2 linked regions of the Macaca fascicularis genome follow. The protein of the gene in region 2 interacts with the protein of the main gene of each other region in a biochemical or structural test. Links are inferred from orthologs where the notes say so. Each region holds a gene or a part of one and is shown on either strand. Other genes may lie near its edges.

What was found.
Region 1: the proteins of PKD1 (region 2) and HDAC9 form a complex in vitro, tested with the Homo sapiens proteins (2 studies listed by BioGRID, with this or other methods). The link is inferred for Macaca fascicularis from reciprocal best matches to the Homo sapiens genes PKD1 and HDAC9.

Annotation. Positions count from the first base shown.
Region 1 is NC_088377.1:111,560,838-111,564,649, forward strand, and holds part of HDAC9 (histone deacetylase 9), read right to left. Parts: intron 1,677-3,812; coding exon 1,463-1,676; intron 995-1,462; coding exon 777-994; intron 1-776. UniProt on the Homo sapiens protein: Responsible for the deacetylation of lysine residues on the N-terminal part of the core histones (H2A, H2B, H3 and H4).
Region 2 is NC_088394.1:2,900,325-2,904,688, forward strand, and holds the start of PKD1 (polycystin-1), read right to left. Parts: upstream 3,031-4,364; 5' UTR 2,796-3,030; coding exon 2,575-2,795; intron 1-2,574. UniProt on the Homo sapiens protein: Component of a heteromeric calcium-permeable ion channel formed by PKD1 and PKD2 that is activated by interaction between PKD1 and a Wnt family member, such as WNT3A and WNT9B. Both PKD1 and PKD2 are required for channel activity.

The sequences.
Region 1 (3,812 bases), on a different chromosome or scaffold from region 2:
CAGGACCTTAATATTTTCCAGGAATTTTCCAGGAATGAGAAGATGGTGCTTTTTTAAGCCTACCACAGCAAAGAGTAGTGGAAAAACTGTCCAGACCAGGTTCTTTAATATCATTTTGCTTACAAATTCATAGAAAATCCTTTACTGGCCTGTCTGATATTATGCTGCAATCACTGTTTCTTTGTAGTTGCCTCAGCAGGAGAGCTCCTAAGGATGTGGTATGGTACAGACATCCGCTGTCCATTTTAGCAACGTTAAGACTTCCAGGAAGAAATGATCACAAGTTTCTGAGAAACTACTCCAAACGCTTATTGGAATGAAGTGGGGCATATGCAAAATAAATGTAACATAGATGCATACAAGTTGCTGAGAAGTGCCTTACTGGCTAACCTTGGCCTATCTGCCATCACCTGTACAAACTTTTTGACATGTCAATGCACCACATTCAAGTCTGCCTCAAATCTTTTCTGCAACACTAAAAAATGAGGCTCCACATATACAGGCCTATATGGGGTTGTGTACCAAAATAGATACCTGATCATAAAAGATCTTGCAAATGTATCATCTCAATTTTGTACAAATGTCTCATGAACATAATGGTGGTTAAAACACTGATATTGTGATGCTGTCCTTGAGCCAAGAAAGCAGGCTTAGGATGATCACATCCTTTTTGCTGTGACTCCCATCAACATTTCTCTTATATACCCATATCAGTGAAGAGATCCCCAATTTCCAAACCAGCGGTTAGAACATTTTGACTTGGCTTGGAGGCTTACTTTGTTCATGTGGATTTGCTGCTGGTATTGTTTCTGCTTCTCCAAGAATTGCTGGTGTTGCTGTTGAATGACCAGCTGAGCCAAAGTGCTCTGAGGCAAAGGTGCAGACTGGGTTCGGTTCAGGGGTCTGTGACGGGGCAATTTGTGGGTACCTCTAATGCCAGGTGAAATTCTCTCTTTTGTTGCCAAGGGAGACTGAGGATGTAAGGGAACGCCACCTGAAAAAAAAAAATACATGTATATGTGTGTATACACACACACACATACACACACACACGCACAATTTTAAGAAAAGATAAGAAGCCAAAGAAAACAGATATATGGTATAAACTATAAGAAAATTAGTGAATTACTCATGCTACCAGGCAAACAACAGAAGGTGTGGTCAAAAGGTCAGGTGTGGGAAGAGAGAAATGTCAGGGCATTGGACAGGTACGCACCTGACCTTACAACTCACCAGTCTAGTCTGGTATGAATAAAGGTTAAATGAGGTGAGTCCTCCTACCCCAGTTGGATCTGAAGGAATAAATAGAGGTGATAGCCTTTCCCACAGTACCAGGTATCAGGGAGACTTTTGTATAGCACTGTGGATCTCTATCAGGGTCTTAAGTAAAAGAGACATTATCCTGGATCACTAATAAAATAAAATCCTAAAATGATCCGCAAAAGGTGCCATAATGAATTACCAGCTACAAGAAGCTTTTGCTGTCGCATTTGTTCTTTCAATAATAGATGCTGCAGGAGAGCCTGGTGGCTGCTGTTGGGCGGCTTTCCCTCTAAAGTAACATGAGGGTGGCTGGAAGACGCAGGGATGCTGCCCCCGTACTGCCCAGGCAGAGGAACACCTTGCCTAAGCGTCTGCGTCTCACACTTCTGCTTTTCTTTGAGTGAATTCGAAGCCTGTGTTGAGAAATAACAAAGATGTTAATCCTCTTTCATCCATGTGGGTCACTGGGTCTCTACATCATTAGACAAGTTTCCTATGCCGTAGCTTCCCAAAACAAAAGCCCCATCTTACCCAATGGCTGAGCCGGGAAAATGGACCTTTTCAACTAACTCAATAAAGAAGAAATAAAAATAGGGTTGGAGCACTGAAGACGATTTAATATTGTCATTGTATTGAACATAAAAAGTTTTTTAAATTAAAATCAGAAGTGATGCTACGTACACAATTTTAGGTGGAAAGAATAAATTCAAGAGATCTATTGTACATGATGACTACAGTTAATAACAATATATTGTACACGTGAACATTTCTGAGAGAATAGATTTTCAGTGTTCTCACCATGAAAAATAAGTATGTGAGACAATGCATATGTTAATTAGCTTAAGTCACTCTACAATGTATACATATATCAAATCATTATGTTGTAAACCACAAATTATGTACCTTTTATGTGTCAATAAAAAAAACAAAAAAATGCTTATTTCAGGCTTAATAAGTGGAAAGTACATTTCTAAAATATTTTATACACTGTTTAAGTTAAAGGCATACTGGAAAGGTAAAATTTATTCAAAGACTATATCATGGGGATTAAGAAGCTGGAGATAAGATGGACTGTAATTTTGGAGTTGCAAGCAAAAGGAACAATTTACCCTTTCTCTACATGGCTTCTAATAATTTCACAGAGCTGTAAGTGTCCAATGTTTAATTTTTAAAATTAAATTCTTAAAATAACCCAATGAAAGGAGGTAAAAATATGCAGAAATTTGATTTAAACAGTTTATATTAATTCATAACAGATCCCCAAATCTCTAAATATTGAAAATGACATTCCAGATATTTTGTATAATAAACTACAAGTGAAATAAGATATCAAATAAAAATGCTATTAAGAACTTGAAATGTATGATAACACAGTAATAAGGCAATAATAATTATATCATCAATAGCAATAATGAATTATCCTATTCAAATGATTTAATGAATGGTGGTCATTTTGCTATTACAAAAGCAGGACTCTAATACCTCAAAATTATGTGGCATGTTTCTTTTCAAAACTCAAGTTTCATCTTTCAAAATTGCTGTGCACCAGGGAGGCGAAGCAATTTTCAGCGATGGAGAAATTGAAGGACAAAGAGGTAAGTGGTTTGTCTGAGTCACACAGCAAGTCAATGCAATGTTTAATCTAGAAGTGATTCCTTGTCCTGGCCTCTTTTCCTTAAAATTTCCCAGTATTCAGTGGAGAAATGGAATACTAGAGATCCCGTTGGCAAAGCAATGCTAAACTTGAAAAATTAATTGTGATGGCCTCATCCACACCAAAATGGAAGCAAAGAAAAATGAAACTTTAATCCAAACCACATTGGTTTCTTCATCCAATGGTACCAAATCGTATTACCTTTGAAAGATTAAATGGTCTGGCTTTAGTACTTGGTCCTTTGGGAAAAAATTTTCCTTGACCACATTAAAAGTGGTACATGTGTGAGTTATTGAGAGGAGTGGCTTAGAACATACAAAAATAAGTAAAAATAAAATGCCTATTCATGTGTCATAAGAAGTTTTTGGGTTTATATTTACTTATCGTTAGAAAAGATAGGAAATAGAAACAGAAGGAAAAATAATTTTTAATTAGTGATAACTATAAAATATTATCTGTGAATATTTATTTTTAGTTTCATTCCTAATTCCTTTTTTGTTTTTCATTTCATTTACAAATGTTTCATGTGGAATTTTAAGAGCATAGCTGAATTCAGTATTTTCAATGCTTTCTTTTATAATCCCCAGATATAGGACGACATCCAAATTTTGTTTTTTCCTCATTGGTATAAGAAGAACACAGTACCACATAAAATGACATTATAGTCTATTGACAATACCAGAGATAATAAGATATCTCTTAGATTGATTTTAAAATAAGTATTGAAACTATGTATTGAACATACACATGAACTTGACACATTCTACTCAGTGGAAGACTTGAAGGTAAGGATTGGCCAAATTGGTGATGAGAGTTGGAATAAATTTTTCTCTAAACCTAATGTATCATATGACCCCTGTATGCATACAATTTAATTAACATTTCAGAGATGAAT
Region 2 (4,364 bases):
ACCTTATTTGGCTCCTGATTCCAACTATTAAACCAAAAATCTGAACACACCAGGCCTTTGGTGGCATTAAGGAATTGTTTGTTGTGTTAGGTGGGTCTGCGGTATTGCCATGCCCTCCAAAATGCTTGCAGATAAAGAAAAGGAATTTGGTTCAAAACATGGGTTAGGAGGGAGAAGGGTAGGGGCAAGGAGGGCAGGGCAGGCTCTGGGGTGGGTGGTCCATGAGTCAGTCACAGCTCTGCCCACGTCTCCCCACGAAGCTTCCAGTCACGCGGGGCAGCACATTTTGCAGTGCGCCATCTTTTCCAAAAGCTGCCACCTCTCAGCATCATCATTAACCCAAGGAAGGCTGTGGCCTCAGAAGCCCCGGCTGTCCTCCATCGGGGACTGGACACAGCTGTTCCTGTTGAGCTTCAGCAGCCGGGGAGCCACAAGTAGAGAGGCACCTGCATGAGCCCCCTAGGAAGGCTGCTGGGGACACCCAGATAGCAACGCTCCTGGGCCCTTAAACACCCGCCAGCAGCTGTGATCTGTGTCCTCGACCTCCCCAGCTCGGCCCCTCTCCCCTGGGGAAAACCCAGCCATCTCCCTGAGGAGGAGATTGCAGGATAGACAGCAAAATGGCTGGGCAGCCTCCACAGCACAGAGGGTCGCCTCAGGGGCCAGCCAGGGCCTTAACATCCTTCCCAAGGCCCCAGTGTCCCATGGGTCCCCTCGCCCCACCTTCCAGAACTCTCCCAGCGGCAGCTCCAGGTGTGTACAGAACAGCACCCACCTGCCCACATGAGGTCACCCTGTACCCTGTTGCACAGTTGAGGGGCCTGGCAATTGGAATCTTGCCAGCTCAGGCTGGGACAGGCCACCAACTCCCAGGGTCCCCCTCCTCCAAATCCCAGGATCAGAGCTTAAGGGAACACCACAAGGCATGGGCGAGGGTGGGGGCTCCACTGCTGTGCTGAGGGCCTGGAGAGCCCGGGCCTTGTTCTCCGGTCAGCCGCCACCAGCGCCCTTCTCTCCTGGACAGCTCCTGAGGGGCTGCTCACATGGACACCACCAGGTGCTGGGAAGCAGGAACCCCAGGTGCAGGACCTGGACAGAGCCCCCAGTGACCAGACTGGCAGACAGAGGAGCCCTCGGCTACAGCATCAGAAACAACGGGTGGGTAGGTCTGATGCAATTCTGTGGGCGCTGCTGCCAGGCAGGAGGAGGCCATCTCCACAGAGACGGCCGCAAGACACACTTCAGCAGTCAGTGAGCGCAGGAGCAATGTGGCCCAGAGAGGTACGAGCTCCACGGGTCCAGGAGAATCCATTCTTCTCCCACCCTCGAGAACAACCAGCAAAGCCCCAAGGACACACGGCTACCCTAAGGAAGGGTGGCCACAGGCAGGAGTGACCCAGAAACATTACAAAACCAAATGCCAGGACCCACCCAATGTTCAGCAAGTCTGGGGATGTGCCACGTTCCCCAGGGATCCAGCACTCCAGCACGCATCCAGGGAGACACAGCGTCCTAGGGAGCAGCCTGGAGCCTGGGAAATACAAGGCATCAGACTGGTCCCGAGACTCTCCCCAGCGCTGGTGACAACTGTCTGCTTATCTTAGTCCCCTGTGCCCTTTTCAACCCAACTCTGGATCCTGAGCACCTCAGTTCCATACCCCTGCTATGCACATCCCGGCTGTGATACCTGGGACAGGTCCTGCCCTGACTGTAATGCCTGGGACAGATCCTGTCCCGACTGTGATACCTGGGACAGGTCGTGTCACCTCTCCAAACCTGTTTCCCCATCTGTGAAATGCAAATCTCCACAGTCCCTATACCTCAGAGGGTCAGGGTCAGGATTCCGCATGACGACCCCCAACAGGAGCCTGGCACAGACCTGGCTATGGGCAGCGTCTCCATGAAGGCCACCTGTTGCTTTTATGTCCAGAAAGCGAACATGACAAGGCTTTAATCCCTCACAGCAATCCTCCCTCGCCCCTGTTCTCAGGATAGCCTTGGAACCCAACAGCAGAGCGCCTGAGGCCCTTCATGACTCCAGCCCACCCGCGAGCCCACCTCCCGTGGCCAGCCTCCAGCCTCACGGTCTTTGCTCACAACGTTCACGCCCCCTTCTTCTGGACCCACCTCATCGCCCCTTCCTAAGCATCAGGCCAATTCTTGCACATCCATCAAATCTTTGTCCAGACACCTCCTGAAAGTCTTCCCTACCGCCCCCGACAGCCATTCCCACCTCCCAGGGTATCCCGCAGCCCCAGGCCGCATCCCAGTTCCCCTCCAATTAGCGACTGTTTGTCCTCTCAGCTGAGCGCGGCCTCCGCGCCCCGCCCCCGCTGGCGTCTGCAGAGCCCCCGGGTGGGACGTCTGTCTCCAGACCCGGGGTTTTTCGGCTCCCCGGGGCCGTGCCAACCGCGGCTCCAGGCGTTCCTTATTTAGCAGGGCCGCCGTCCCGCGCCGGAGCCTCGCCCTGGGAGCGTCCTGGCCCGCGTCCTGCTTCCAGTACCGGGCCAGGGAACGCGCCCACGCCCGCCCGCCCCGCGGCCTCTCCCGGGTCCCGCTGGGCCCGCTACTCACAACGCCGTGGCGTCCGCGGGGATGCGCAGCGCGGGACCGAGCGTCCGCAGCCCGCGGCCCGAGCAGTTGACGCGGCAGGCGGCGCCGGGCGCAGGGCCGCAGAGGCAGGGGGGCGCGCAGGGCCCGCAGCCGCGCCCGGGGTCCCCCGCCAGCGCCCCGAGCCACAGGCCCAGGCCCAGGACCAGGACCAGCGCCAGGCGGGCGGGCGCCGCGGGCGGCATCGTCAGGGCAGCGTGCGCATGGCCCCGCCGTCCCCAGGCCCGCCCGCGCGCGAAGGCCGCGGCTCAGGCGGGGCCCGCGGACGGCATGGCGGGCGCGGAGCGGGACGGGGCTGCTGAGCGACCGGCTGCTGAGCGACGCCCGCTCGGGATTCGGGGACAGGCCGCTCCAGGAGCTTGGCCGCCCGCTCGGGCGCTGGCGCTGCAGTGCGGGCCCGGCTGCGGCTCCTCCTCCTCCTCCCTGCGCGGCGCGAGGCGGGCGGGGCGAAGGTTGGCGGGGCGGGTGCAGGCTCCGCCCCCTTCGCCTCAGCGCGACCGGGCCAGCGATGAGGGACGGGCATCCGAAGGCTTCACCCTCAGCTCCGCAGGGTCGGCAGCAGGGCGGGGCGTCCGGAAGTTCCGCCCCACGCGTCTCCGGGTCGCATACGACGTGGGGCGGAACAGGAGGCGGGGCGTCCTGAAGCTCCGCCCGTCGCACTGCAGAGTCGGCAGAGGCGCGAGGTGGACAAGGTATTTTCTCGCTCCGCCCCACTGCAGGCTAAAGTGCGTGGGCGGGAAGCGGTGGGCGGGGCGCCACCTGGCTCCGCCCTTCTGCCCCGGTGTGGGCCGGGCCGCGGGCTCCTCCTCCTCCTGCAGCAGCCACAGGCCCCACCCCGATCCTTCTCCCGGACTGTCTCCGTGGGCGTCCCCAATCAGTGTCCGCAACCTCCCGTTGCTCCCGCTGACTCCATGCTTCCCTACCCCAGGTTTCCCGGCTAAGAGAGAGACAGAGGGAGAGAGAGGGAAGAGAGACAACAGGCAACCGGAGGTTGATGGTGAGAGCTTATTGAAAGACAAGAGGGAGGAAACCCACATCCTTCATTCCCCATCCATTCATTTATTGCCTTATTTATTCCACTGAATCTTCACAGCTCTAGGAAAAAGGTGCTACAATTATTCCCTTTATTAAATGAAGTCACTGAGGCACAGACAGTTTAAGAAATTTGCCAGCAGGGCGCAGTGGCTAACTTCTGTAATCTCAGAACTTTGGGAGGCCAAGGAAGGTGGATCCCTTGAGCCCAGGAATTCGAGACCAGCCTGGCCAACATGATGACACCCCGTTTCTACAAAAATTAGCCAAAATTAGCCAAACTGGCTCACGCTTGTAGTCCCAGGTACTCAGGAGGCCAAGGCCAGAGGAGCATGTGAGCCCAGGAGGCAGTGGCTATAGTAAGCCGTGATTGTGCCACTGCACTCAAGCCTGGACAAGAGTGAGACCCTGTCTCGAAAAAAAAAAAAAGGAAAAAAGAAAAAAAGAACTGGCCGGGAGCGGTGGCTCATGCCTGTAATCCCAGCACTTTGGGAGGCCGAGGTGGGCGGATCACAAAGTCAGAAGTTCGAGACCAGCCTAGCCAACATGGTGAAACCTCCATCTCTACACAAAAATCAGATGGGCATGGTGGCAGGTGCCTATAATCCCAGCTATTTGGGAGCCTGAGGCAGTAGAATTGCTTGAACCTGGGAGGCAGATGTTGCAGTGAGCCGAGGTCGTGCCACTGCACTCCAGCCTGGGCAACAAAGCAAAACTCCGTC